Anolis sagrei: one gene and its partners. The protein of the gene in region 2 purifies or fractionates together with the protein of the main gene of each other region. This does not show direct contact. Links are inferred from orthologs where the notes say so. Each region holds a gene or a part of one and is shown on either strand. Other genes may lie near its edges. The genes, in order: DDX20, SNRPF, SF3A2 and CLNS1A.

Region 1 (7,717 bases), on a different chromosome or scaffold from region 2:
TATTAAACCCCCTGTTTCAGCAGCTTCACCGGCTGACAGTCTGTTTCCGGGCACAATTCAAAATGCTGTTTATGACCTTTAAAGCCTGAGACGTTTCAGGTACAGGCTATTTGGCTGACCACATCCCCTTGTACAAGCCTGCCCTGCCTTGAGATGTTTAGGAGAGGTCCCTCTCTCGGCCCCACCTCCATCTCAAGCTTGGTTGGTGGGAACATGTGGCTGCTCCACGACTCTGGAACTCCTTGCCCAGGGAAGCCAGAATGGCCCACTCCCTGCTGCTCTTCTGGCAGCAGGTTAAAACCTTTTTATTCAGACAGGCTTTTAAAGAGGCTGCTGTGGTTTTTAACTTTGAATATGTTCTAATGGATTTTAACTGTGAATTTTTAATACTGTTAGGTTTAATTCTGTTTAAATGTTTGCATATTTGTATATTTTAATTGTATGTTAATGCTTTTATGTTAAACTGCTTTGAGTCTCCTTCAGGAGAGATAAAGCAGGGTATCAATAAATATAATAACAACAAGAACAACAATAAAGATAATAATAGGTTAAGTTGTCATTACAGCAGAAGTACTGTGACTAGGACTCAGGGGTGTGTATATTTGCCATTAAGTTACCAGTTGACTTTTGGCTAAGTCATGGAGAATGACAGATTATGGGAGCTACAGTTCAAAAACATGATGGGGACCCTTTGGGAAACCCCAACACTTGAATAACCATAGATGCATTTAAAACTATAGAACTGATGCAGTCTAACGCTTCAACTGGCATGGCTCAATGTCTTCTCCACCAAACCACTCTCCTGATTCCATAGCACTAAGCCATAGCAGTTAAAGTGGTTGTCAAAGTGCATTAATTCTATAGTGTAGATGCATCCCATGTGTTTGGCAACCTCCAAAAGCTAAATAAAACCACCAATCCCACTAAGCTTCATTCCTCTGAAATGTCCTTTTCTGCAATACAAAAGTTCATGTCTTGATCTCGTTTCTGACAGTAAATGAAGAATCCATTCAATTTAGAAATTAATTACAATTTAAACTTTTCTTAAATTTTAATTTTATTTTGTTACAAATGAAGCAACCAGAGCCTTAACGAGAAGACTTCTTAAGGTTGCTATAAGTTTTTTGGGTGTATGGCCATGTTTCTGAAGCATTATTTCCTGACATTCTGCCTGCATCTATGGCAGGCATAATGTCAGGAGAGAATGCTTCTGGAACATGGCCATACAGCCGAAAATCAACCCAGTGATTCTGGGTAGGAAAGCCTTTGACAAGACTTCTTGAGTTTCCCCAGTCTGAGCAGAAAAAAAATAGCAAAGCACAGACAAGAGAGTAGGGAGGACCTGCTCTCAATCCCACCGACATCGCAAACGCAACTGGTGAGGATGAGGGACAGAGCCTTCTCAGCAGTGGCCCCCTGCCTGTGGAAAGCTCTCCCCAGAGATATCAGAGTGGCCACATCCCTTTTGTCTGTTAGAAGGAAAATCAAGACCTGGCTATAGGACCAAGCGGTTGATCAGTGAGCAACAAGTAAAAGGAGATTTTAACACTTACGGCAATGATTTGACCCAGACTGGATTTTGGACTCCAATTTTTAATAGGCGTGTGTTAATTAATTGTTTTAACTAATGTTTTTCATATTTTTCAATATGTTTAATGTACTGTTGATTGTTTTATGATGATGACACCATATGATGCTTTGTGAAGCCGCCCTCGGAAGGGTGGGATATAAATATAGGAAATAAATAAATAATAAATAAGACGCAAAAAACCCCAAAACAAACTAAGGACGCACCTCTTCTACACTGTAGACTTAAAGCAGTTTGTCACCATTTAACTACCATGGCTCAATACTATGGAATCTATATAAATAAAAATGTAATGTTCATTTGTGGGATTAACAGAACTCAAAAACCACTGGACGAATTGACACCAAATTTGGACACAAGACACCTAACAACCCAATGTATGCCCTTCACTCAAAAAAAATAATTTTGTCATTTGGGAGTTGTAGTTGCTGGGATTTATCGTCACCTACAATCAAAGAGCATTCTGAACCCCACCAACGATGGAATTGAACCAAATTCGGCAAACAGAACTCCCATGACCAACAGAAAATACTGGAAGGGTTTGGTGGGCAGTGTCCTTTGGTTTTGGAGTTGTCGTTCACCTACATCCAGAGAGCACTGTGGACTCAAACAATGATGAATCTGGATCAAACTCCACACAAATACTCAATATGCCCAAATATGAACACTGGTGAACTTTGGGGAAAATAGAATCTTGACATTTGGGAGTTGTAGTTGCTGGGATTAATAGTTCACCTACAATCACAGAGCATTCTGAACCCCACCAACGACAGAATTGGGCCAAACCTCCCACACAGAATCCCCATGTGGGCCACAGCAACGCGTGGCAGGGGACGGCTAGTCATGAATATTTTCGTTTTACATGGTCTTTAGCTCCCTATGCCAACAAAAATGCTGGTGCCTCGCCAAACTACAACTCCCTGGACCCCATAGCACTAAGCCATGGCTGTGATGCCAAACTGCATTGAATCTAGTCTAGATCAGGTATGGGCAAGCTTTGGCCCTCCAGGTGTTTTGGACTTCAACTCCCACAATTCCTAACAGCCTACCGGCTGTTAGGAATTGTGGGAGTTGAAGTCCAAAACACCTGGAGGGCCAAAGCTTGCCTATACCTGATCTAAATGCAGCCTAAGAGCCACAACGTCCTCCCCTCACCTAAACCACATCTCCCGAGAGGGATGGCTTTCAGCTGCACGGGAGAAGGCCTCAGAAACCCGGCAGCCTTCAGTCCTTCCAGCACCAGCGGGGACAGCAGCAGCGAGCTGAAGTCTTCGGGCCCTTCTTGCAAGTGAACGTCCCGGGTACGAAGCCAGCCCTCAGCGTGAGATGCTTCCACAGCCGCCATCTTGGACAGAATGCTGCCGCAAATCTCGCGAGAAGTCCGGACTAGAATGAGAGCAGGTTCTCCCCACCTCTGCATCGTCCCGCGCGGCGAACGCCAGCGAATGAGAACAAACCATTTGAGAGAGGAGGGGTGGAAGGAGGAGGAATAGCACTTTGGCGCCCAAAGGGAGGGGAGGGAGTAAACGATGGAGCCTGATTGGACAAAGATTCAGAAGGTGGGAGAAACCATTGGGCAAGCTGAAGGGGAGGGGCGTAGTTCAATCTCGTTCAAACTTGGGCTTACTGAACTGCACAGTTGAGAGAATAGGAAGCATGTGTCATAATAGCTTATTGTTATCTGTATATTTATCATCCTTGGGGCTGTAATCCTGACAGATACTGTGCAAAGTCTCTAGTAATCCGTGACATTTCCTTTTTGAATGAATGACGCACATACGAGGGTTGACTGAAAAGTAAAGCCTCCACCTTCATTACTTGGGTTTGGAGGGGAATATTTTAATAAATCAAACACAGAAAAAATTAACAAAATCTGGCTACCAGTATTTTAAAAACCCTCTAAAATTACAACAGCAAAACAACAGAGAGGAAACAATCTGGGACCTCTAATCACCTCTCAACAAAAGATTGCCCCAGGCACAGTCAGACCATTGTATGCTAATCAAGGTGGTCAGTTGAAACATTCACTGTCCCACCCTGGTCATTCCACAGATATATAAACCCTTTTTCCTAGTTCCAACAGACCTCTGAGGATGCTTGCCATAGATGCAGGCAAAATGTCAGGAGAGAATGCCTCTAGAATATGGCCATATAGCCCGAAAAAACCTACAACAACCCAGTGATTCTCGCCATGAAAGCTTTCGAAAATACAGAAATAATCCTTAGAATGTGCTCTTTAACTACCACTATTCACTTTTCCACATAATCACCAGACAATTGGATACATTTCTGCCAACGATGAACAAGTTTTCTGAAGCCGTCACAGAAGAAGTCGACACTCTGTTTGCGCAACCAGCGCCTCACAGTTCTCTCAATGTCTTCATCAGAAGCATAATGATGTTCCTGCAGATCTTTCATTATCGGGAACAGGATAGAAGTCAGACAGGGCTAAATCTGGACTGGGTTGTTGTAGGTTTTTTCGGGCTATATGGCCATGTTCTAGAGGCATTCTCTCCTGACGTTTCGCCTCAGAGGTAGTGAGGTCTGTTGGAACTAGGAAAAAGGGTTTATATATCTGTGGAATGACCAGGGTGGGACAAAGGACTTTTCTCTGCTGGAGCTTGTCCCACCCTGGTCATTCCACAGATATATAAACCCAGTTTTCCTAGTTCCACCAGATTTATGCTTGCCATAGATGCAGGCGAAACATCAGGAGAGAATGCCTCTAGAACATGGCCATATAGCCCGAAAAAACCTACAACAACCCATTGATTCTGGCCATGAAAACCTTCGACAATACATTAAATCTGGACTGTGTGGAGGATGCCATACGGTGGTGAGATCCAGCCTCTGAAGTTTCGAGTCTGTGCATTTTCATTTCAGGCATCAGCATTCTGGGTACCCATCGTGCACAGATTTTTCAATAGCCAAGCAAAGCAATAATGTGACCCACACGTTCTTGTGAATTCCGATTATGCTTGAAATTTCTCTCTGAGTTATACAACGATCATCCTGAATCAATCTGTCAACCATTTGCTTGTGAAACTCAATGGTTGCTGTCACAGGACGTCCAGCTCTTTGTTTGTCACGCAAGTCAGATTTTCCCACCTCATTACCTTTAAACTTTCTCGCCCAATGATGCACAGTACTCACATCAACACAATCACCATAAACAGCTTGCATTATTTGATGAATCTCCTTTGGGGTGACACTTTCTGCTGTCAAGAATTCAATGACTACACATTGCTTAAGTCGCATTGACCGACCATCTGCGCAGGGTTCCATTCTTCACACTTTAATAACACAACTGTTCAATGTTAAGGCTTCCCACCAAAATGGAACTGTCAAGGAGAGCCTAATGAACAAGCCAGTACCTGCCGCATACCAGTACTGCCATCTGTTGAGTTGCGAAGGTGGAGGCATTATATTTCATTGAACCCTCGTATATCTAATTGTGTGCGGGGGGAGGGGGGTGGTATTTGTTTCTAAATTATTAGCTGCCTTGAGTTCCTATAATGATGATGATGATGATGATGATGATGATAGTAATAATGGTGAATTAGAACAACACATCTATTTGGAATAAATCCATGGATATAAATCTTTCAATTCTTCTACACTGTAGAATCAATGCGGTTTTGGCACCACCAACTGCCAAGGCTCAATGCTATGGAATCAAGGGAGTTGTAGTTTGACAAGGTCTTTAACCTTCTCCTCCCCAAATTACAATTCCCAGGATTCCATAGCACTGACCCATGTCTGTTTAAAGTGGTGTCAAATTGCATCAATTCCACACTGTGGGTGGACCCCTTGTCTTCAAATAGGAATCTATAGGAATGGAATGGGCGTCCTCAAGCAAATCTTTGTCCTCTTTCTATGGCTCCTTCCACACATCTGAATTAAAATCCCACATTACCTGCTTTGAACTTGGATATATGGCAATGTGGACTCAGACAATCCAGTTCAAAGCAGATATTGTGGGTTATTCTGCCTTAATATTCTGGGTTATATGGCTGTGTGGAAAGGCACTATGTTGATTGTCCTTTTTATTATGTTCTAGGCTAGTTTGAGAACAGTTTCCAAAAAGGAGCATTTCCAAAAAGAAATAACATTCTGATTATATTGCTGGGGGGGGGGTTAAAATTTGTTGTGATATGGTAATTTGAAATAGTGGTCAGCAGTATTCTTTAGTTAAATTCTATATTAGACTCATAGAGTTAGAAAAGACCGTATGGGCCATCCACCTTAACTCCTGCCATGCAGGAAAAGCACAATCAAAGTACGCCTGACAGATGGCCATCCAGTCTCTCTTTAAAAGTTTGCAAGGACGGAGCTTCCACCACACTCCAAAACAGTTCCACTGCTGAACAGCTCTCACAGTCATGAAATTCCTCTTAATTTTCCAGTGGAATCTCCTTTCCTCTAATTTTAACCCATTGCTCCATGTTCTGAGACTACACTGCCATATATTCCAGTTCAAAGCAGGAAATGTGGGATATTATTCAGCTGTGTGGGATATTATTCAGCTGTGTCTCCAGAGCAGCAGAAAACAAGTCTCCTCCCACTTCCTTATGACATCCTTTCACATGTTTATACATGACTATCATGTCTCCTCTCAAACTTCTCTTCTGCAGGCGAAAAATACTCATCTATTTAAGGCACTCCTCATATGGCATTGCCCTCCTCTGGAGACCTCACAAGGTTTTCATTTTGAATTGCTATTCTTAGCAAATGATACTTATTAGTTACTGGTTAAAATAAATTCACATAACAAGTTTAGTTGTTGGGTTGCTGTGAGTTTTCCGGGCTGTTAATAGATATTGGAAATACTGATTCTCGCCAGAAGAGGGTGCAATCTGCATATAGGATACATCTTTTATACAGTATTGATGTTTGATGTGCAGGGAGAGTATAATTCAAAATAGTTGCTCGGCATCAAAAATAATCCCACTTCTTATTAATGAGAAGGAGTAACAAATTAACCAAGCGCATGTGAAGGCATACAAAATCAGGTGTGGTGATCGAACATTTGGAAATAAGCCACATGAATGTTGCAAGAGCAGTAGCTCAAGGAACATGCGTTATATTTCTTATGGGTAAGAATTTAGATTAACTAGTATATTTGGTTAGTCTTTGAACTATTTTATCACAACATGAAGACATCTCAGGAAATCTCATTCTTGTGTTATGGGCCTGACTCATTTTCATTTCCGGATCTACACAATCAATATATGACCTGTGTCGACCCATATAATACAGTTAAGGGCAGTTCAAACTGCATTATATGAATCTATAGTGGCCACATAATGCAATTCAGACTGCATTATTTGGTAGTGTGTATCCAGCCCAAATCATAATTTTAAACTTTTTTTCAGCCATGGTTTGCCAGAAAAGTTACAAAGAATTCAATGACTGTAAAATATAACTCTTTTCAGCTTTAGATGTAACTTTTTGCAGGAGCTCATTGAGACCTGAAAATTACATTCAAGGGTTTTTCCAGGGGAAAAGACTGGAAAAGTCCAATTTAAGACAACCAGGGTTTTGTTTGTTTTTTTAGATTATCTAAAAGTCAAAGTAAAAGCTTCTGACATGTTGGTTATGTCTGGTCCAAACTATTGTACCACATGTGTGTAGCTTGATTCATGTGTATGGACATTTTTCTCCAATTAATTTCTAGGTGTTACATTATATAGTGAAATATAACATGGACTATTGTTTTTCTTTTCTTTCACATTTTATTTCATTAAAACACTTAAACCATTCATCCTCCGTTCATACCTTCATAATGTCCTTCCTCCAATGCTTAAGCCCGTGATGGTGAACCTATGACATGCGTGTCATCATTGACACGCATGGCTATTTTGATGACACGCAGACACATGCGGCCACATACAGAGAAATAGACTTTATAAGAGCCAATCTAATTCCATCTTTCAATTTGTAAAAGGCTTTACAAATTTAACATCTGCACGTTTGAGCATTGTTCACTCCATAACTCAGCATGGATTATACATTTTTCTTATTTAAACTATAAATATTGCAAAATTATGGGGTTTTTTTCTCAAAGTGACACTCCACCCAAGTTATGCTCAGGTTTTTGGCAAATTTTGACACACCAAGCTCAAAAGG
Region 2 (7,910 bases):
CTTCAATTTCACCATCACTGGCTTCCCAGTCAGCCCATTTAGGAAGGGCTTTGGATTGAGAGGCAAACTCTGCATGGGACAAAGTGGAATGTAAGAAATCTGATAAATCAGAAAAAAGGCATTCTACTCACACGCTGAATACTAGATGCATAAAGAAAGCAATGCATGAGGACATCACTTGTGTTCTTTCACAGAAATATACTGCTTCTCATATGGTAATGTATGTTCCTGATCAGTTGTTAAAGCTTTATGCCTCACAATTTTCAATAGCCTCAGTTTAAAGTCAAAGCAGAACTTTAAGAACTACATTGGATCAAAAAAAAAATGTAGCCCACTGTTTGAAATTACAACCTCTTATTATTTATTTATTTATTTATTTCGGGCTTTTATATCCCACCCTATCTCAACCTCAGCAGAGGGACTCAGGATGGCTAACAAATCGGCACACCATGGCGCCCACATCAAAAACATAAATACACAATTTAACGGCAATATAATAACAATAACAGTAATAACAGTATAAAAACGATCAATCAATCAGTCAGTGGTCACCGGTTTAAATCATCATCCAAGGGGAGTCCATCAGTTCTGTATAAGTCAACACGTCAGCAAGTCAGCCTAATCTACAAAGGCCTGATCGCATTGCCAAGATTTTACTTGTTTCTGGAAGGTGAAGAGGGATGCAGGGGATCTAATTTCACTCGGGAGGGAGTTCCATAGCCGGCGGTCACCACAGAAAAGGCCCTGCCCCTGGTCCCCGCCAGATGCGATTGTGACAATGGGGGAACAACGAGCAGGATCTCCCCAGATGATCTTCGGGCCCTAGGTGGATCGTAGCGGGAGATACGTTTGAACAAGTAAACTAGGCCAGAACCGTTCAGGGCTTTATAGGCCAAAGCCAGGATTTTGAATTGTGCTCAGATGCTGATAGGTAGCCAGTGGAGCTGGCGTAACAAGGGCGCTGTGAGCTCCCTGTACCCAGCCCCAGTGAGCAATCTGGCTGCCGAACGTTGGACTAGTTGAAGCTTCCGGGCAGTCTTCAGAGGCAACCCCATGTAGAGTGCATTGCAGTAGTCTATTTGGGATGTAACAAGAGCGTGGACCACCATGGCCAATTCAGGCTTCCCAAGGTACGGGTGCAGCTGGTGCACAAGTTTTAACTGTGCAAAAGCTCTCCTGGCCACCGCCAAAACCTGGGGTTCCAGGCTCAGCGATGAGTCCAGGATCACACCTGCACCTTCAGGGGGAATGTAACCCTGTCAAGCACAGGCTGTAACCCTACCGGCTGTTAGGAATTGAAGTCCAAAACACCGGAAGGGTTGAAGTTTGCCTGTGCCTGATCTACAGTGTGATCCAAACCTGACATTCCTCTATACACTGCGTCATCAGTTGGGGACCCCTCCCCCAAGTACCAACTGCTGCTCTGGGCCAGAGTGAAGACAGAGGGGAGTAGAAGACAGTTCCACCTTGTCTCCTGTGCTATTCTAATTTATATATATATATAATGTAATGCAATATAATACTAATATATTATAATTATACTAGCTGTCCCCTGCCACGCATTGCTGTGGCCCAGTCTGGTGATCTGAAAAATAAAGTAATGGTTTCTAATCTATGTAATTTCTTTCTGCTTGTGGGTAAACAGTATTTCTTGTTGTTTCTTTGTCAGTGTTGATGTGGAGAGTGTATGGTTTGCCCACCCTGGAACATGCAACATAACATTGTCCTACTTTAGGGGTCCCTTTCAAATCTATAATATTATATTTGTGTGTGTGTGAATCATATATATCTATCTATATCTATGGCTGGATGGCTCTTTGTCAGGAGGGTTTTGATTACGTTTTCTTGCCCTGGTGAAGGGAGTTGGACTGGATGGCCTTACATATTTTCTGTTGGTCATGGGGGTTCATTTGCCCCAATTCTGTCGTTGGTGGGGTTCAGAATGCTCTTTGATTGCAGGAGAACTATAAATCCCAGTAACTACAACTCGCAAATGTCAAGGTCTATTTCCCCAAAACTCCATCTGTGTTCATATTTGGGCGTATTGAGTATTCATGCCAAGTTTGGTCTAGATCCATCATTGTTTGAGTCCACAGTGCTCTCTGGATGTAGGTGAACTACAATTCCCAAACTCAAGGTCAATGCCCACCAAACCTGTGTGCCAAGTTTGGTTCAATTCCACTGTTGGTGGAGTTCAGAATGCTCTTTGATTATAGGTGAACTACAAATCCCAACAACTACAACTCCCAAATGACGAAATCATAGTTTTTTTGAGTGATGGTCACTCCTTGTGTAGTGAGACATTTTGTTGCCAAATTTGGTGGGATTTCGTTCATTGGTTCTTTTGTTTTTAAGGTACTCATTATGCACAGAGCATTTTATATAGATAGATATACATATAATATTTATAATATTATAATGCATTGCAATATAATACTAATATATTATAATTATATATTTATATTACTAATAATATTAAAATATAATGGTATAATACAATATAGTAATATTTAATACTGATATTGTACTGTACTATTAATATCATATATTGTATGTATGTATGTGTGTGTGTATATATATACCTTGTAAGCCGCTCTGAGTCCCCTTCGGGGTGAGAAGAGAGGCATATAAATGTCGTAAATAAATAAAAAATAAATACTACAACTCCCATCACCCACTGCTCCCTGCCATGAGGATAAGGGGCCTTGTAGTCCAATGTATTCGAGGGAGACAAGCAGGTGGACGCTTGTATCCAAGGGCTGGCTTCCCAGCCCACTATATCCGAGGCTGTGGGGCCTCCCAGCCGCCCTTTCCTTCCTTCCTCCCGCCTGAACCTCACTATGATCCGGCTCCCGAGGGCCTAAGGCCCGCAGCAAAGCCCCTCTTTCCTCCCAAAGACAAAGGCACTCACCATAGCAACCCGGCCAAGGAAGGGGAGGCTGCAAGCACACAAAAATTACTCTCAGGCAGCACGTGTGCCCGCCAGAGCTCTAAATGAAATACTCGGAAGTGACGTCCAGCTAGTTCCGTCTTCCTAATGACCTTTCACCCGCGCATTTTTCCCTCCTTCTGCTATTTATTTTATCCCCTCTTTCTATGGCGTTCTGTCTGTTGGGGGGAAAGCCACGCTCTGATTGGCTCGTTTCGCACAATAGAGGCGGGGCTACAGCTGCCAATGTTCGATGGAATTTAGAGACTAGGATTATCAGTGAGGCACTTCCGGGCTTTTTTTTTACTTCAACTCCCAGAAGCCTCTGCTGCTTTGGCCAATGATCAGGGATTCTGGGAGTTGAAGTCCAAAACGCCTAGGGGGCCAGCCTTTGGGAAACACGACTCAAGGAATATGAAAGGCTACTTCAACAGAGAAGTCAGCCAAAGCAGAGCACCAAACTGGGCACAGCAAATTATTTGAGAACACAGAAATGCTAGACCACTCTAGCAACCACCATGTCAGACTACACAGAGAAGCCATTGAAATCCATAAGCATGTGGACAATTAAAACAGAAAGGAGGAAACCATGAAAATGAACAAAATATGGCTACCAGTATTTTAAAAAATCTCTAAAATCAGGACAGTAAATAAAGAACAACACCAAGAAAACAGGGGAATTTATTTATTTACTTTATTTGTATACCGCTCTTCTCAGCCCTTAGGAGACTCAGAGCGGTTTACAACAATTTAGGTATACACAATATTTATTTACTTTGCTTATATACCGCTGTATCTCAAGCCCGAAGGCGACTCACGGCGGTTCACAAACAGTAAAAACAGTAGAAACAGCAGTGGTTCCATACAACATAAAACAATTGACTTAACACATTATCCATAAATTACCAATAAGCAATTACAATGCACAATTATTACAAAAAACAACCGTATCCAATCTTCTCATCATCCAAGCGTAGTCCATCATTAAGCATTTAAAAGCAATAGCATCACAAATCATTAAACATCAGTATCAATACATCACTACATCAATATAACAAATCCATCAGGCCTCAGCAATGAAATCAGAATCCAACTCGTTATCCAATATTCCGTGTTCCGATAGTCAGTCAATCAATCACACTGCTTAGTCGAATGCCTGTTCAAACAGCCAGGTCTTTACTTTCCTCCGGAATGCCAGCAAGGAGGGGGTCGATCTAATATCTACAGGAAGGGCGTTGCACAGCCAAGGGGCCACCACTGAGAAGGCCCTGTCTCTCGTCCCCGCCAGGCGTGCTTGTGAAGCCGGCGGGATCGAGAGCAGGGCCTCCCCAGATGATCTTAATGTCCTAACTGGTTCATAGGAGGAGACGCGTTCGGACAGGTAGGTCGGGCCTGAACCGTTTAGGGCTTTAAAGGCTAAAACCAGCACTTTGAATTGTGCCCGGTAGCAAATTGGCAGCCAGTGGAGCTGGCGCAGCAGTGGAGTGGTGTGCTCCCTGAGTGCCGCTCCTGTTAGCATCCTGGCTGCCGAATTGCAGGCAGGAAACAATCAGGATCAGCTACCATCCCAACAAAGGATTCCCCCAGGCAGCAACCAGCCAGGCATTGAAGCTGCAAGGCAATTCAATGCTAATCAAGGTGGCCATTTGCAACATTCACACTTGCCTCAAGCAGACAAGAGTTCTTTCTTCCACCCTGGACTATCCACAGATATATGAACCTCACTTGCCTAGTTTCCAACAGACCTCACAACCTCTGAGGATTCCTGCCATAGATGTGGGTGAAACGTCAGGAGAGATGTCCATTTTCTGGCTATACAGCCCAGAAAACTCACAGCAACCCACTGATAGTATTCTCAATGGAAAGGAAAGCAGTTACGATGGAACTGCCAATTGATCCACTGCAAAGCACCTCTATCATCATCATCATCATCATCATCATCATCATCTTTATCCTTATCATTATTACCACCTATTACAATGCATCCTGAGCCCTGCCGCATGCACAATGGAGGACGTTCTTATAGCAACACCAGAGGCACTCCAAGTGGCCAGCTACTGGTCAAAGGGCATGTAACATGGGTTGTTGTAGGCTTTTCAGGCTATATGGCCATATTCTAGAGGCATTCTCTCCTGACGTTTCGCTGCATCTATGGCAAGCATCCTCAGAGGTGGAGCCCCCGGTGGCACAGTGGGTTAAATCCCTGTGCTGGCAGGATTGAAGACCGACAGGTTGCAGGTTCGAATCAGGGGAGAGGCGGATGAGCTCCCTCTATCAACTCCCGCTCCTCATGCGGGGATATGAGAGAAGCTTCCCACAAGGATGATAAAAACATCAAATCATCCGGGCGTCCCCTGGGCAACATCCTTGCAGACGGCCAATTCTCTCACACCAGAAGCGACTTGCAGTTTCTCAAGTCGCTCCTGACACGACAAAAAAATAATAATCCTCAGAGGTTGTGAGGATGCTTGCCATAGATGCAGCGAAACATCAGGAGAGAATGCCTCTAGAACATGGCCATAGAGCCCGAAAAGCCTACAACAACCCAGTGATTCCAGCCATGAAAGCCTTCGACAAGACATGTAATATAATGCTAAGTTTTCAAACTTTATGTTGTTGTTTTTTTAAAAAAAATGCAATACAATTGTACCCTTGGTTCGCTCCTGGTACGATAAATAAATATAACTTTTTTTTTTACCAAAAGGAAAGCTATTACAATGATGTCAAACTGCATTAATTCTATAGTGTAGAAGCAACTTCCTCCCGTCTTCACAAGACTTTACAGTGAAGAGCCTTTGACTGCATTGAAGACTCTCCATGCCATCTGTTAGAATAAAGGCCTGAGACTCTAATAGCATCACTCTTTTACTTGTGCATGCTTTTTAACATCTTTGTCTGATGAAGAAGCCAATGTCTCAGAATTACAATCAGAATGCTGTTAATGGTCAATGTATTGTTATTAGGTACTTGAACATTTTTAGTATCTCTTTCCATCAGATGTATTGGGTCCTATGAATTGCTATATTTATATTGACCAGCAGGTGTCAGCAAATAGTTTTGGTTTGACTATAATCCTATTCATATCAGGAGTGGCCAGGACAACTGTTGCAGGCTGGTGACCCAAAATGACATTCTAGAGGACTAAGGCCCCTACTACACTGCCATATAAAATCCAGATTATCTGCTCTGAACTGGATTATACAGCAGTGCAAATCCAGCCTGAATTGAACTGCATTACATGAGTCTACACCAGGCATGGACAAACCTTAGCCCTCCAGATGTTGTGGACTGCAATTTCCATAATTCCTAACAGCCTACCTACCGGTGGTGCAAAACACCTGGAGGGTCAAAGTTTGCCCATTCCTGGTCTTCACTGTACATACAATGCAGCTTCAAACTGCATTATATGGCAGTGTAGATGAGGCCAAAGTGATATCTCCCTCAAAAACTACAACTGTCAGTCTTCCTTAATTTGTGGCGGTGTTTAGTGATAGACACATGAAATAATAGAATGTCAAACTGGGAGCTAGGTGGAAGGACAAGCAGAGTAATAACCAGGAACAATGAAATGGCAGTTATTTATTTATTATTTATTTATTTACTATATTTATATACTGCCCCTCTCAGCCCAGAGGTGGCTCGGAGCGGTTCACAAATTAGCAACAATTCCATGCCATATCAATTAAACAGTAAAAACAGTCAATAAATTCTATTAAATACAATAACATATAGTATAAAAATATAAAAATATATAAAAACCGTACAAAGCCTTAAAGCATTGTCATGAGCGTCTCCATGCCAAATCATTATTCCATTGTGTTGTTCCATAATTTCCTTTAGCTATGCTGTGTTTGGGAAGGCCTGCTCAAAAAGCCAGGTTTTCACCTTCTTTCAAAAAGTCAGAAGGGAGGGAACCGATCTTATATCTCTAGGCAGGGCATTCCACAGTTGAGGGGTCACCGCTGAGAAGGCCGTGTCTCTCGTCTCCGCCAGACACAACTGCGAAGTAGGCAGGAGCGAGAACAGGGCTTCCCCAGAAGATCTTAACATCCTAGAAGGTTCATAAGGGGAAATACGTTCAGATAGGTAAGCCGGGTTATATTATTTCATTTGTGTACTCGCTTTGTGTATTCCTTGACATCATGTGACACTTATGAAATATTGAAGTCTGTAAGATAATTCATGGTCAGCACTTTCTGTGAGCCCTTCCACACAGCCGTATAATCCAGAATATCATGGCAGAAAATCCCCCAATATCTGCTTTGAACTGAGCCCACACTGCCATATATTCCAGTTCAAAGCAGAAAATGTGGGATTTTATTCAGCTGTGTGAGAGGTAGTACACTCCGATCTAACTTATTTTAACCCCAATCAAAGGATAATCTACACTGTAGAATTAATGCAGTTTGATACCACTTTAACTGCCATGGCTCAAAGCTTATGAAAACTTGGGGCGATAGTTTAATGAGATACCAACCTATGGCAGAGAAGGCTAGACCTCATAAAATTACAGCTCCCACGACCCCAAAGCATTGGGCCACAGCAGTTAAAGTGGTATCAAATTGCATTAATACTCGAATGTAGATGCACCCTAGTTTTAGGAGAAAATCCAGAATATAAATGAAATAAGTAATATTCCCAATATTTCTATCATTATGAAAGACAGTATGAATATCATTTGTATTGATCTTACCAACCTCATTTGTCCACAAGGCATGAAATGTTTATGTGGAAATGAAGGCAATTTTTGAGCAAACGAAATAGAATAAATGGTTGCACATTTATAAGGCTGAAAATCTGCCCTTCTTTGTATTGGCATTGTGTAACAGCAATGCATTTTTTCTTTGGATTTGTCACAGTTCTTCCGCACACAGATTAAACAGCCATCCTATTGGGAGAGTATTTAAAAACAGTACAGTTTGCTGGTGGGATTTCATAAGCAGTTTCTGAGAAAATTGTATTTATTTCTGTGTTATTGTTT
Region 3 (7,058 bases), on a different chromosome or scaffold from region 2:
CAAATTTATTATTATTTACTATTATATATTCAGACACACATATATATACACACAGCCATTACACCAAATCTGTGTGGCTTTGTCAGGGAGTGTGGCACAATAGATGCAATATATGCTGTCCGGTTACTCATGGAAAATCATTGGGAAAAGAAATTGAATCCAGACAAGACAGAGGTTCTCCTGGTCAGTCGCAAGGCCAAACAGGGCATAGGGTTTCAGCCTGTGTTGGATGGGGTTACACTCCCACTGAAGACGCAGGTTCGCAGCTTGGAGTGATCCTGGATTCATCGCTGAGCCTGGAACCTCAGGTTTCGGCAGTGATCAGGTGAACATTTTCACAGTTAAAACTTGTGCGCCAGCTGCGCCCATATCTTGGGAAGTCTGACTTGGCCACAGTAGTCCACGCTCTGGTTACATCCCGTATAGACTACTGCAACGCTCTCTACGTGGGGTTGCCTTTGAAAAAGGTCCGAAAGCTTCAACTAGTCCAACGAACAGCAGCCAGGTTGCTAAAAGGAGCGGCGCTCAGGGAGCATACAACCCCCTTGTTGCGCCAGCTCCACTGGCTGCCGGTTTGCTACCGGGCCCAATTCAAAGTGCTGGCTTTGGCCTATAAAGCCCTTAATGGTTCTGGCCCAACTTACCTGTCTGAACGTGTCTCTCTTTACGAACCATCAAGGACTTTAAGATCATCTGGGGAGGCCCTGCTCTCGGTCCTGCCTTTGTCTCAAGTATGTTTGGCGGGGACGAGAGACAGGGCCTTTTTAGCGGTGGCCCCTCGGCTATGGAATGCCCTCCCTAGGGAGATTAGATCTGCTCCCTCCCTCTTAACGTTTCGGAGGCAAGTTAAAACATGGCTGTTCGAGCACGCATTTATAAATGCAGAGTAGCTAATACAGGAAATTGAACGATTTGACAATGGAACTGGACAATGCTTGATAATAATGAGACGCTAATGATGTTGTTTTTATTACTTTTGTGGTGTTTTATATTCTTTAATGTTTTAATCTGTATTATGTTTTTATATGTTTGGGAGTCCTCTTGGATTCATCGCTTACGCTTGAGGCTTAGGCGTCGGCGGTGTCCGGGAGGGCTTTTGCACAATTGAGACTTGTGCGCCAACTGCGACCGTACCTCGCAAAGGCTGATCTGGCCGGGGTGGTCCATGCCTTGGCCACCTCTAGATTGGACTACTGTAATGCGCTCTACGTGGGGCTGCCCTTGAAAACGGCTCGGAAATTCCAACTGGTCCAACGGGCAGCGGCCAGGATGTTAACTGGTGCTGCTTACAGAGAGAGGTCAACCCTCCTGTTCAAGGAGCTCCACTGGCTGCTGTTTATTTTCCGAGCCCAATTTAAGGTGCAGGTGCTTACCTACAAAGCCCTAAACAGTTTGGGACCATCCTACCTGCCTGACCGCATCTCCGTTTATGAACCCACGAGCTCACTTCGTTCATCCGGAGAGGCCCTGCTCGTGATTCCGCCTGCGTTGCAGGCGCGTTTGGTGGGGACGCAAGACAGGGCCTTTTCTGTGGTGGCCCCCCAACTCTGGAACACCCTCCCCAAAGATCTTAGACAGGCCCCTACATTGGCAGTCTTTAGGAAGAACTTGAAGACCTGGCTGTTCCGATGTGCCTTCCCAGATTAGGAATCTCCAATACCAAGTCCCAGAAGCACTTTATTAGAATTAAGATTGTTGCATACTGCACACTGCACTTACCCTATAATCCTTACATATCACCTGTCACATCAGCACTTTTAATTCTGTACCCATTACTCTGGCCCGGCCCAGTTTTATTGTGTCTTGGTGTATTGTTTATTGCTTGTTGTTAATATTGCTTTAATTGTTTTTAATTTGCTTAGGTTTTGTATTGTTATGTTGTATTTTGAGGCCTTGGCCTTTGTAAGGGGCATCGAGTCCTTCGCGAGATGCTAGCGGGGTACAAATAAAGTTAATAATAAAATAATTGTTAGGTTTTACTATGTATTGAGTCATGCACTGCTAATGGGTTAATGGGCTTCTGTTGGGAATGCTGAGAATGTATTGATTGTATGTGGGGAATCATTTGGGAAATGTGTTTTTGCCTACTCAGAGTGATTGTCTATGACACAATCCTGGGTTTGGGTTGGGTCAATTAGTTGGTAAGCAATCAAGGAGTAAATGTATTGTAAATGTATTGTATATAAGGAAACCATGTACAATGTATATTCCCCTTCCTTTGATGTTGTGCTGTTATTCGTCAAAGACTATAAAAGAACCTGTCTACTTGGACAAGATAGTGCGTACTGTGGTGAGTCTGTGAGTATGTAATATCATCTAAACTGGGGGAAAGACAATGGTAAAAACTGGATAATGGCCTGGCATGTGCTCAAGTATCTACTGTGGAAGCAGAAGACTGAAAAATCTTCTGAGCAGGAGGAAAGCTGCTGGAACGCGCTGAGGCTGTGCAAGTGTGAAGTTAACTCTGGCCATAACAATAATAATAATAATGTACTGATTTGTTGGAAACCACTGAACTTTGTATTCCTTGATCTCGAAAAAGCATTTGATCGGATTTCCCATGAACTGATTTGGCGAGCACTACAATTAGGCGGCTGAGGGGGAAAAGGAAAAGGCCTGAGGCTGTTAGGAATTATGGGAGTTGAAGTCCAAAACACCCGGGAGGAAGGCCCAAGTTTGCCCATGCCTGGCATAAACCCTCAAGAGGCCAATACATGCAATTAAACCAGGCAAAGATATAGAGCAACATTGGTTGAAGCCAAAGGTTTGGAACCCTTCCCTAGACCCTCAGGACGCCATTGCTTACCCCGCTTCGGCCCCGCTTCAATCTCCTCTCCTCTCTGGGAGAGAGAAAGAGCACGGGAAAAAGCCAAACGCGCCGCTCAAGGATCCACTTCCGGCCAAAACGTCTCAGGCTCGCGCGCCGGAAGTGATGTCGAGAAGAGGCCGGGAGCGGAAGTGGGACTATTGCAGCGCCTCTTACCGCGAGAGGGGGGCGTCGGCCATGCGGTTCAACGAGCGGGAGTTGCTCTCGCTCTCGCGGCAGCCGGCGGAGAAAGCCGCCGAGGTGCTCATGCGGGCGCCCAAGAAGGGAAGCCGTGAGTGAGGAGAGAGAATAAGGAGGGGGGAGGGGAACAGAGACCAAGCGGCGGCGTCACGACGCACAGGGAGGGACCAGCCTCGTGACGTCACGGTCCAAACCACGCCCCTCAGGGAAACAGCCCATTCGAGTCGCGAGGGCGGTGTCGCGTGACGTCACGCCGCAGGCCACGCCTCTCAAGTAGTACTACCTTTTGGGAGGCTTTTCCCTTTCCTATTCTGGACTAGAAACTTGAGTGGCCTTTAAATCCTCAGAAATATTACAGATTTCATGTAGGATTGGGAATATTTGCCTAGGCAGCATTGAGTGGCTTGTGTTTATGTTATTTGAGTATTTTTTATTTATATGTTGCCAATTATATATATTATTAATAGTATTTCTGTTTTTATATCTCGCTTTTCTCTCTCTCAAAGCAGCCAACAATGTTTCAAAAAATATAATAAAATAAATGGAAGTCTACATTTTAAAGCCAAAACATGTAAACATTAAAACCAGAGGGTTGTTGTAGGTTTTTTCGGGCTGTACGGCCATGGTCTAGAGGCATTCTCTCCTGACGTTTCGCCTGCATCTATGGCAAGCATCCTCAGAGGTAGTGAGGTCTGTTGGAACTAGGAAAAAGGGTTTCTATATCTGTGGAATGACCAGGGCGGGACAAAGGACTCTTATCTGCTGGAGCTAGGTGTGAATGTTTCAACTGACCACCTTGATTAGCATATAATGGCCTGACTGTACCTGGAGCAAACTTTTGTTGAGAGGTAATTATATGTCCCTGCCTGCTTCCTCTCTGTTGTTGTGCTGTTGCAATTTTAGAGTTTTTTAATACTGGTAGCCAGATTTTGTGCATTTTCATAGTTTCCTCCTTTCTGTTGAAATTGTCCACATGCTTGTGTATTTCAATGGCTTTTCTGTGTAGTCTGACATGGTGGTTGTGACAGTGGTCCAGTATTTCTGTGTTCTCAAATAAAATGCTGTGTCCAGGTTGGTTCATCAGGTGCTCTGCTATGGCTGATTTCTCTGGTTGAAGTAGTCTGCAGTGCCTTCCATGTTCCTTGATTTGTGTCTGGGCGTTGCGTTTGGTGGTCCCTATGTAGACTTGTCCACAGCTGCATGGTATACAGTAGACTCCTGCAGAAGTGAGAGAATCCCTTCTGTCCTTTGCTGAACGTAGCATTTGTTGGATTTTCTTGGTGGGTCTGTAGATTGTTTGTATGTTGTGTTTCCTCATCAGCTTCCCTATGCGGTCAGTGGTTCCCTTGATGTATGGCAAGAACACTTTTCCTCTGGGTGGATCTTCATCTTTACTCTTGTGGCTTGTTCTTGGTCTTGCAGCTCTTCTGATGTCTGAGGTGGAGTCTCCATTGGCCTGTAGAGCCCAGTTGAGGTGGTTCAGTTCATCTTGAAGGAGGTGGGGTTCGCAGATTCTTTTTTGCACGGTCTGCCAAGGCTTTAATGGTGCTTCTTTTTTTACTTGGGTGATGGTTGGAGTTTTTATGTAGATATCTATCTGTGTGTGTGACAAGCCTTCGACAATACATTAAAACCAGAATTAAACATTGGAGTATTATAATTAAACAGAAGATCATTCAAACCGATTATCTTGATGCATCACAGTCTGGTTTTAGGCCTGGTCACTGTATGGAGACGACTTTGGTCGCCTTGGTGGATGACCTCCTCAGGGAGCTAGACGGGGGAGTGTGTCCCTGCTGGTTCTCTTGGATATCTCAGCAGCTTTCGATACCATTGACCATGGTCTCACTCTGGGTCGGCTCTCTGGAATGGGTCCTGGGGGTATTGCTTTGCAGTGGCTCCACTCCTTCATGGAGAATCGCATCCAGAAGGTGATGCTGGGGGATCCCTGCTCGGATCCCTGTCTATTGACTGTGGGGTCCCGCAAGGTCCCATTCTATCTCCCATGCTTTTCAACATCTGCATGAAAGGGAGAGACACTGCTTTGCAGTAGCTCCACTCCTTCCTGGAGGATTGCACCCAGATGGTGATGTTGTGGGACCCCTGCTCGGCAGCATTGAGTGGCCTGGGTTTATTTTATTTGAGTATTTTTATTTATACATTATTATTACCAATAATATATATTAATAATATTTCTAGTTTTATATCTCGCTTTTCTCTCTCTCAGAGCAGCCAACAATGTTTCAAAAAGTATAATAAAATAAATAGAAGTCTACATTTTAAAGCCAAAAACAAGTAAACATTTAAACCAGAATTAAACATGGGGAGTATTAAAATTAAACAGAACTCATTCAACTCGATTATCTTGATCCATCACAGTCTGGTTTTAGGCCTGGTCACTGTATAGAGACGGCTTTGGTCGCCTTGGTGGGTGACGTCCGCAGAGAGCTAGACAGGGGGAGTGTTTGTTTCCCTGCTGGTTCTCTTGGATGTCTCAGCAGCTTTCGATACCATCAACCATGGTCTTGCTCTGAGTCGGCTCTCTGGAATGGGTCTTGGGGCGTATTGCTTCGCAGTGGCTCCACTCCTTCCTGGAGGATCGCACCCAGATGGTGATGCTGGGGGACCCCTGTTCGGATCCCTGGACATTGACCTGTGGGGTCTCGCAAGGTTGCATTCTATCTCACATGCTTTTCAACATCTACATGAAAGGGAGAGGTCATCCAGAGTTTTGGCGTTTGGTGCCATCTGTACGCAAATTAAGCACAATTCTACTCCTTTCCATTTAAATCCAAGGAAGCCCCTCAGATCTTGGACCAGTGTCTGGCAGCTGTGATGGTCTGGATAAGGGCCAACAAACTGAGGCTTAATCCAGATAAGACAGGGGTCCTCCTGGTCAGTCATGATGCTGATAGAGGTATAAAATGGCAGCCCATGCTCAACGGGGTTACACTCCCCCTGAGGGCACAGGTCTGCAGTCTGGAGGTCCTCTTGGACTCAGCGCTGACACTTGAAGCTCAGGTGTCGGCGATGGCCAGGAGGACTTTCACACAGTTAAAACTTGTGCGCCAGCTGCAACCATACCTCGAGAAGCCGGATTTGGCCACGGTGATCCATGGCTTAATTACTTCAATATTGGATTATTGCAATGCACACTACGTAGGGCTGTACCAGTTGCTCAGAAACTGCAGCTGGTATAAAGGTCGACAGCCAGGCTTCTAACTGGAGCTAATTATAGGGAGCACACAGTGCCCCTATTAAAGCAGCTCCACTGGCGGCTGATAGGTTTCTAGTTGCAATTCAAGTGCAGATTATGACCTACAATGCCTTAAGCAGTTAGTGTCTTTCCTATCTTCGTGACCGTATCCCCCCTAAGAACTGGTATGATCTCTAAGATCTGCTGTGCAGGCTCTCCTCTCGCTTCCACCACCGTCACAAGCACGCTGGTAGAGATGAGGGAGGGCATTCTTGGTTGTGCCCCCCTGACCCTTCCCAGGGAGATTAGGCAAGCCCCCAAACTGTCCCCTTTTTGTAGGGATCTGAAAGCCTGGATGTTCCAGCGAGCATTCAAGAATGACTAGTCCTTAGTGATGTAGGCCCAGCCCCTAGGTTGCTAGACAGTTCTACATCTATCCACTTCCTATGTATACTATTTGCACTATTCCTTGCCCAGCCCCTTTTTATCTTTTTCATGCCCATTTTAGTTAGCTTGCTCATTAGTTTTTGTTGAGCCTGATCTGACGGGCTTTGATGCAATGTTTTATGCTTTTTAATATTTTTAATGTGTGTTTTATTTGGGTTGTTGTATTTTACAATGCTTTTAATGTATGTAGTTTTATAGATTGTTTTTGCTTTTATGTCTTGTGGACATTCTGTCCCATGCGTAAGCCACCCCGAGTCCCTTCAAGGAGATGGTAGCGGGATATAAAAATAAAGTTATTATAATTATATTATTATTGATTTAATATTTCAATTTGGATGTCTCTCTTTTTGTAGCCCTGAAGAAGCGCCTGGTGAAACTGGTGGTCAACTTCCTCTTTTATTTTCGTAC
Region 4 (7,172 bases), on a different chromosome or scaffold from region 2:
TCTTCCTTCTCTACCTATTCTTGGACTGCAACTCCCAGTAGTCCTGATCCATCCATCTATCTACCTATCTCTATCTAATCTATCTAACTGGAGGATTGCTGGAAATTGCAGTCCAGGAATAGGAAACTGGAGATATGCAGGTTTTGGGATGCGCTCAAAGATTTCCAAGGAGAAGAAAGCTTGCAGCATAGAAGCGGTGCATTTGGATCATCCTCCTCTCCTAAAGGGCCTTGTCTAGGGGATGCTGGGAGCTGTAGTCCGGAAGAGAGTGTAGTTATGCTATTGTGTGTTTTGTTTGCCAGGAGAGTAGTTTTTGCGCATGTGCTGTAGCGTTTTTTGCTTTTTTGACCTTTTAAGTCTCTTCTGCTGTGTTTGTCAGTGTTTTTATGAGTGATGGTCACTCGTTGGCCTGATAGGTGTCTTGTGTCCAAATTTAGTGTCAATTCATCCAGTGGTTTTTGAGTTATGTTAAACGAACATTACATTTTTATTTATATAGATTTTATTTATTGTTTATTACAAAATATGCTTCTGCAACGTAACACCAAATTCAAGCAGGCATTTGGTTAATTCGGTGCAATGAATGTGTTGATTACGGATTGGTAATATGGATGATGAAATTGGACCAGGATTTTAGTTAGGAGATGTATTGGATTGTGATTTACGTGTAATATTGTGTATTATGTTTTTATGGTTTTAATTGTATACTGTGCACTGTATATTTTGTTGTAAACCGTGTTGAGTCGCCAGTTAGGCTGAGAAACGGCGGTATACAAGGACAGGAAATAAATAAATAAAAAATAAATTCTTGTTACTCCGGCACTCCTTCACCATCCTGCCAATGCAGTTACTACTAAAAAAAAATAGTCAGACAGAGAGAAAGGGGGACTGTGGGGCTTGGCAGGTATAAAAAAAGCTTTGTAAAAGAAGCTACTTTCTCAAAGGATTTGTGAACTGAGGTATACCTGCATTCCAGTTACTGAAATTACAGAGCTAAATTCTGCTGACATACATGCAGTGATGTTCTAGCATCTCTGCATACTGATAAGAATGCCAGAAGGACTTGATTCTCTTGAACAGCCCGGCTCCTTCACCTATCCATCGCCACTGGGTATTTTGAGTACTGATATTTTGTTTTACATAATATCTGAATGGGAAGTCCTTTTGTCAACAAAGCCAAGGAAAAAATACTGTTTCTGGACTACAATCACTTGAGGGCCATGTATCAAGATGTGAGGGAAGTCATTGGGAGGAGGAAGCAAGCTTGTTTTCTGCTGCCCTGAAGACTAGGATGCGATGGAACAATGGCTTCAAAGTATTGTAGAAGGTTTTAATGGCTGGAATCATTAGGTATAGAGGCATTCTCTCCTGACGTTTCACCTGCATCTATGGCACGCATCCTCAGAGGTTGTGAGGTCTTTCAGAATGCTTGCCATAGATGCAGGCAAAACGTCAGGAGAGAATGCTTCTAGAACATGGCCATATAGTCCCAAAAAACCTACAACAACCCAATGGCTTCAAACTACAGGAAAGGAGATTCCACCTGAACATGAGGAAGAACTTCCTAACTGTGTGAGCAGTTCAGCCATGAAACTCTCTCCCCTGGAGTGTGGTGGAGGCTCCTTTTTTGGAGGCTTTTAAGCAGATGCTGAATGGTCATCTGTTGGGAGTGCTTTGAATGCCATTTTCCTGCTTCTTAGCAGAATGGGGTTGGACTGGATAGAAAATTGCATTCAAAGCACCCCCGACAGATGACCATTCAGCCTCTGCTTAAAAGCCTCCAAAGAAGGTCTCTGGGGCTCTCACAGTCAGGAAGATTCTATGATTCTATTAAGTTCTTCCTAATGTTCAGATGGAATCTCCTTTCTTGTAGTTTGAAGCCATAGCTCCATTGTGTCCTAGTCTCCAAGGAAGCAGAAAACAAGCTTGCTCCCTCCTCCCTGTGGCTTCCTCTCACATATTTATACATGGCTATCATATCTCCTCTCAGCCTTCTCTTCTTCAGGCTAAACATGCCCAGCTCCTTAAGCCGCTCCTCATAGGGCTTGTTCTCCAGACCATTGATCATTTTAGTCGCCCTCCTCTGGACACATTCCAGCTTGTCAATATCTCTCTTGAGTTGTGGTGCCCAGAATTGGACACAGTATTCCAGGTGTGGTCTAACCAAAGCAGAATAGAGGGGTAGCATTACTCCCCTAGATCTAGACACTATGCTCCTATTGATGCAGGCCAAAATCCCATTGGCTTTTTTTGCCGCTACATCACATTGTTGGCTCATGTTTAACTTGTTAAACATGATATATAAACCTCAGTTGTCTAGTTTCCAACGCATCTCACAACCTCCGAGGATGCTTGCCATAGATGTGGGCGAAACGTCAGGAGGGAATGCTTCTCTCCTGGATGGCCATCTGTCAGGGGTGCTTTGAATGCAATATTCCTGCTTCTTGGCAGAATGGGGTTGGACTGGATGGCCCATGAGGTCTCTTCCAACTCTAGGATTCTATGATTCTACAAGAGAGCGACTAGGATGCAGAACAATGACTTCAAACTGCAAGAGAGGAGATTCCATCTGAACATGAGGAAGAACTTCCTGACTGTGAGAGCCGTTCAGCAGTGGAACTCTCTGCCCCGGAGTGTGGTGGAGGCTCCTTCTTTGGAAGCTTTTAAGCAGAGGCTGGATGGCCATCTGTCAGGGGTGATTTGAATGCAATATTCCTGCTTCTTGGCAGAATGGGGTTGGACTGGATGGCCCATGAGGTCTCTTCCAACTCTAGGATTCTATGATTCGAGGTGAGGCCTACCCAAACTCGGCGACTCACCTCTCGGCCACGAAGAGGGTCCCGCTGCCCAGGCGTCGCCCTCCCAGCACGGCTTCGGTCTCGGCCTGCCTCAGCCGGACGCCTTCGCTCGGCTCCGGGAGGCGTTTCAGGAAACTCATGGCTGCCTGAAAGGAGGGGAGGAAACAGCTAGGCCGCGTCCCCTCCGCTCCGGCACAAAACGGAAACGCGAGGAACCGGAAGCAGCGCGCTGTCACCTCTTTCCGCTTCCGCCTCACGCGACAAAGACCTTTCTGCGTCTCTCCCTTTCTCTCCTTCGCCACAACGCCGTGACGTCATAATCCACTGAGAGTTCCGGACTTCGTCTCCCAGAAGCCCTTGCCATAACGACTAAGGCAGTGGGATTCTGGGAGTCGGAGTTCGGGAGTATCTAAAGCGGGGAATGAAAGGCGGCCATGTTGGATGTTAGTCTAAAACGAGACGGGCCTAGGCCAACTTGGGCCCTCTGTGTGTTTTGGACTTCAACTCCCACAATTCCTAACAGCCTATTAGGCTGTTAGGAATTGTGGGAGTTGAAGTCCAAAACACACAGAGGGCCCAAGTTGGCCTAGGCCTGAGCTAAGGCCTTTCTCAATAAGGCTTGTCTCTTAATAATAATAATAATAATAATAATAATAATAATAATAATGATATAAAATAAATAATCATAGTAGAGAGAGAGAGAATATATATATATTATAATAATTACTATGTTTACTATTCTTACAGTAGATAAATTATTATTATTTACATTATATATATATATAGTAAATAATAATAGTAATAATAATTTATATATAGAAAGAGAATATATATATATATAATAATTATTATGTTTACTATTCTTATACTAGATAAATTATTATTACTATTATTACTATTATTTACATTATGTATATATATTGTAAATAATAATAGTAATAGTAATTTATATATATAGAGAAAGTGAGAATATATATATATAATTATTATGTTTACTACTCTTATACTAGATAAACTATTATTATTACTATTATTATTATTTACATTATATATATATATATATATATATATATATATATATATATATAGTAAATAATAATAATAATAATAATAATTTATCCAGCAAAAGAATAGTAATCATTTTTGTTTCTTTTTCCTGCAGGAAGGAACTGTAATAATAATAATAATAATATCAAATATATTAATATCAAATAAATTACAAAATATAATACATTATAAAATTGTAATTATAAAATATAATAATAATAATAGTACAGTATTATTTTGTCCAACATAATAGTAAACATTTTTGTTCTTTTCTCAGCAGTAGGGAACTGTAGTAATAATAATAATAATAATAATAATAAAGTTATATTAAATAAATTATAAAATATAATGTATTACAAAATATAATACATTATAAAATTATAAGTATAAAACATAAAGATAATAGTATAGTATTATTTTGTCCAACATAATAGTAAACATTTTTGTTCTTTTCTCTGCAGGAGGGAACTGTAATAATAATAATAATAATAAATATAATAATATAAAATAAATTACAAAGTATAATATATTACAAAATATAATATATTATAAAATTGTAATTATAAAATATTATAATAATAGTATTATTTTAAATAGTATTATTTTGTCCAACATAATAAACATTTTTGTTCTTTTCTCTGTATACAGTAGCGAACTGTATTAATGTTTTGTAGTTTTTATATTGTTTCTTTTCCCTGCAGGAAGGAACTGTAATAATAATAATGATAATGATGATAATAATAATAGAATTAATAATTATTATAATATCAAATAAATTACAAAATATAATACATTATTAAATATAAAGATAATAGTATAGTATTATTTTGTCCAACATAATAGTAAACATTTTTGTTCTTTTCTCTGTATACAGTAGGGAACTGGATGGTCTCTTCCAACCCTTTGATTCTAATAATAATATATAAAATTGTAATTATAAAATATAATAATATAGTATTATTTTGTCCAGCATAAGAATAGTAAACACATTAGGTTCTTGTGGGTTTTTTTGGGCTATAGAGCCATGTTCTAGAGGCATTTCTCCTGACGTTTCGCCTGCATCTATGGCAAGCATCCTCAGAGGCAGTGCAGGAAAGAACTATAATAATAATAATAATAATAATAATAATAATAATTTATATAACCCACAAACCATCAATGAAAGGTCACAATACCTTGGAACTGCTCAAACTTGATCCGAAACGGATGATAATAGTGCTTGTTAGTTCTTGCAAGTACACGGCACCTTTACAATTGATTATCCACATTGAGTATCCTTACATTGCTCTTTGCTCAAGTCTTTGATTTCTTTTTTAGAAGTACAATTACAGAGCAAAAAATAGAAGAAAATGAGAAAAGAGAGGGAACTACTTCAGACCTGAATGTGGACTAAGCATTAAGGCACCTAAGGAGATAAAGGTTGAGTAACCTTTATCCGGAACTATTAAATACTCTGAAATTCAAAATTGTCCACATGGTTGACTGTGATAGTAGCGCCTTTTGCTGTCTGATGGTTCAATGTAGACAAACTGTGTTTCATGCAGAAAAGTATTATTTAAATCTATAAAAGTCAGAGTTTGTATATATTTATGTTGGTTTGTACCACAAAGCCTCCTCCATGGCTTGATGGATCTGGACCAAATGTGACACCTTCATTATCCAACTTAAAATAATTGAGGGGTTTGGGGGGGAAAAAGGCCCTTTCAGAGCAGCGGGAAAGACAAGGAACAAAGTGGATTGGTTGTTGCTAGGTGAAGTGGCCCTCTGTGATGTCACTAGGAAAGAAAGGTGACACGTATAAGATGAAGGGAGGAAAGAAAGAATGAAAAGGGAAAGGGGTATAAAGGGAAGGAAGAAAAAAAAGACAAAAGGGAGGAGAAAAGAAGGGATGAAAGAAAGGAGCGAAGAAAAAAGAAAAGGAAAAGAAGGGGAAGGAAGAAATGAGAAAAAAGGGGGACAGGTATGTGAAGGAAAAAAAGAGGGAAAGGAAAGGATTGAAGACCGGAAGGGATGAAGGGAGGGAAGAAAGAAATAGAGAAAAGGAAAAGGAGAAGGAGGAAAAAGGGACACATGTGTGAAAGAAAACAAGGGAAGAATGAAAGAAATTGGAAAGGAAAGGAAAAAGGATGAAAAGGAAGGAAGAAAAAGAAGCGAAAGGTAAGGTAAAGAAAGGGAGACAGATGTGTGAAGGAAAACAAGGGAAGAAGGAAAGAAATAAAGGAAAGACAAGGGAAGAGAAAGGGAGGGAAGAAAGGAAAAGAAAGGGGATAGGTGTCCGAACGTATCTCCTTCTACGTGCCACCTCTGAACTTAAGATCGTCTGGGGAGGCCCTGCTCTCGACCCTGCCTTTGTCTCAAACACGCTTGGTGGGGACGAGGGACAGGGCCTTCTCAGTGGTGGCCCTCCACCTGTGGAATTTGCTCCCCGGGGAAATTAGGTCATCCCTCCTCACCTTTAGAAAAAAGGTTAAAACGTGGCTGTGGGACCAGGCCTTTGGGCAATCAGATTAAAGGACAATTGATAATGTTGACTATGGCATGGAAGAGGATTTGGATAAGTGGAGTAATCATTAGTAGATGGCTAGCTAAACGGCCACCAGACGGGCAATAGCTAATCAGAATCTAAGTATACTGTTTTAATCTTTATTAATGTTCATGTATAATTGTTATATTTGTTATTCTGTATTTTATGTTGTGGCATTGAATTGTTGCCAATTGTAAGCCGCCCTGAGTCCCCCCAGGGGTTGAGAAGGGCAGAGTAGAAATGTTCAAAATAAATAATATAACAAGGGAAGAAAGAAAGGAATAAACAAGAAAGGAAGGGAAGAATGGAAGAAGGGAGGGAAGAATGAAAAAGAAGAGGGGCAGATGTGTGAATGAAAACAAGGGAAGAAGAAAAGGAAGGAAAGACAAGAGAAGGGAACAATAAATGGAAAAAGGGAAGGAAGAAAAAGAGAAAGGAAAGGAAATGAAGGAAAGGGAAACAGATGTGTGAAGAAAAACAAGGGAAGAAGGAAAGGAAGAAATAAGAAAGGAAAGGAAGAATAAGGGAAAGGGAGAAGGTGTATGAGGGAAACTGAGGAAGCAAAGAGTGAACCACAAAAAGGACCTGCACAAAAAGAGTTGTCACTGTGAGGTAGGCCCCCGCAGAGCTGGAGAAGGCAGGCAGCGGTCCTAACAACATCCCAAAAACTGCATATATATATATAGTCGAAGGCTTTCATGGCCGGAATCATTGGGTTGTTGTAGGTTTTTTCAGGCTATATGGCCATGGTCTAGAGGCATTCTCTCCTGACGTTTTGCCTGCATCTATGACAAGCATCCTTA

What was found.
Region 1: the proteins of SNRPF (region 2) and DDX20 purify together in Homo sapiens (affinity purification with mass spectrometry; 5 studies listed by BioGRID and IntAct, counting the BioPlex papers as one, with this or other methods). This does not show direct contact. The link is inferred for Anolis sagrei from reciprocal best matches to the Homo sapiens genes SNRPF and DDX20.
Region 3: the proteins of SNRPF (region 2) and SF3A2 purify together in Homo sapiens (affinity purification with mass spectrometry; 4 studies listed by BioGRID and IntAct, counting the BioPlex papers as one, with this or other methods). This does not show direct contact. The link is inferred for Anolis sagrei from reciprocal best matches to the Homo sapiens genes SNRPF and SF3A2.
Region 4: the proteins of SNRPF (region 2) and CLNS1A purify together in Homo sapiens (affinity purification with mass spectrometry; 3 studies listed by BioGRID and IntAct, counting the BioPlex papers as one, with this or other methods). This does not show direct contact. The link is inferred for Anolis sagrei from reciprocal best matches to the Homo sapiens genes SNRPF and CLNS1A.

The regions. Positions count from the first base shown.
Region 1 is NC_090024.1:199,508,832-199,516,548, reverse strand, and holds the start of DDX20 (probable ATP-dependent RNA helicase DDX20), read right to left. Parts: upstream 3,024-7,717; 5' UTR 3,009-3,023; coding exon 2,744-3,008; intron 1-2,743.
Region 2 is NC_090025.1:155,433,009-155,440,918, reverse strand, and holds the start of SNRPF (small nuclear ribonucleoprotein F), read right to left. Parts: upstream 3,060-7,910; 5' UTR 2,915-3,059; coding exon 2,912-2,914; intron 70-2,911; coding exon 1-69. UniProt on the Homo sapiens protein: Plays a role in pre-mRNA splicing as a core component of the spliceosomal U1, U2, U4 and U5 small nuclear ribonucleoproteins (snRNPs), the building blocks of the spliceosome.
Region 3 is NC_090034.1:51,590,072-51,597,129, reverse strand, and holds the start of SF3A2 (splicing factor 3A subunit 2), read right to left. Parts: upstream 2,933-7,058; 5' UTR 2,807-2,932; intron 1-2,806. Other genes in the region: PLEKHJ1 (pleckstrin homology domain-containing family J member 1), read left to right, coding at 2,933-3,098, 7,004-7,058. UniProt on the Homo sapiens protein: Component of the 17S U2 SnRNP complex of the spliceosome, a large ribonucleoprotein complex that removes introns from transcribed pre-mRNAs.
Region 4 is NC_090023.1:9,832,562-9,839,733, forward strand, and holds the start of CLNS1A (methylosome subunit pICln), read right to left. Parts: upstream 3,025-7,172; 5' UTR 2,939-3,024; coding exon 2,820-2,938; intron 1-2,819. UniProt on the Homo sapiens protein: Involved in both the assembly of spliceosomal snRNPs and the methylation of Sm proteins.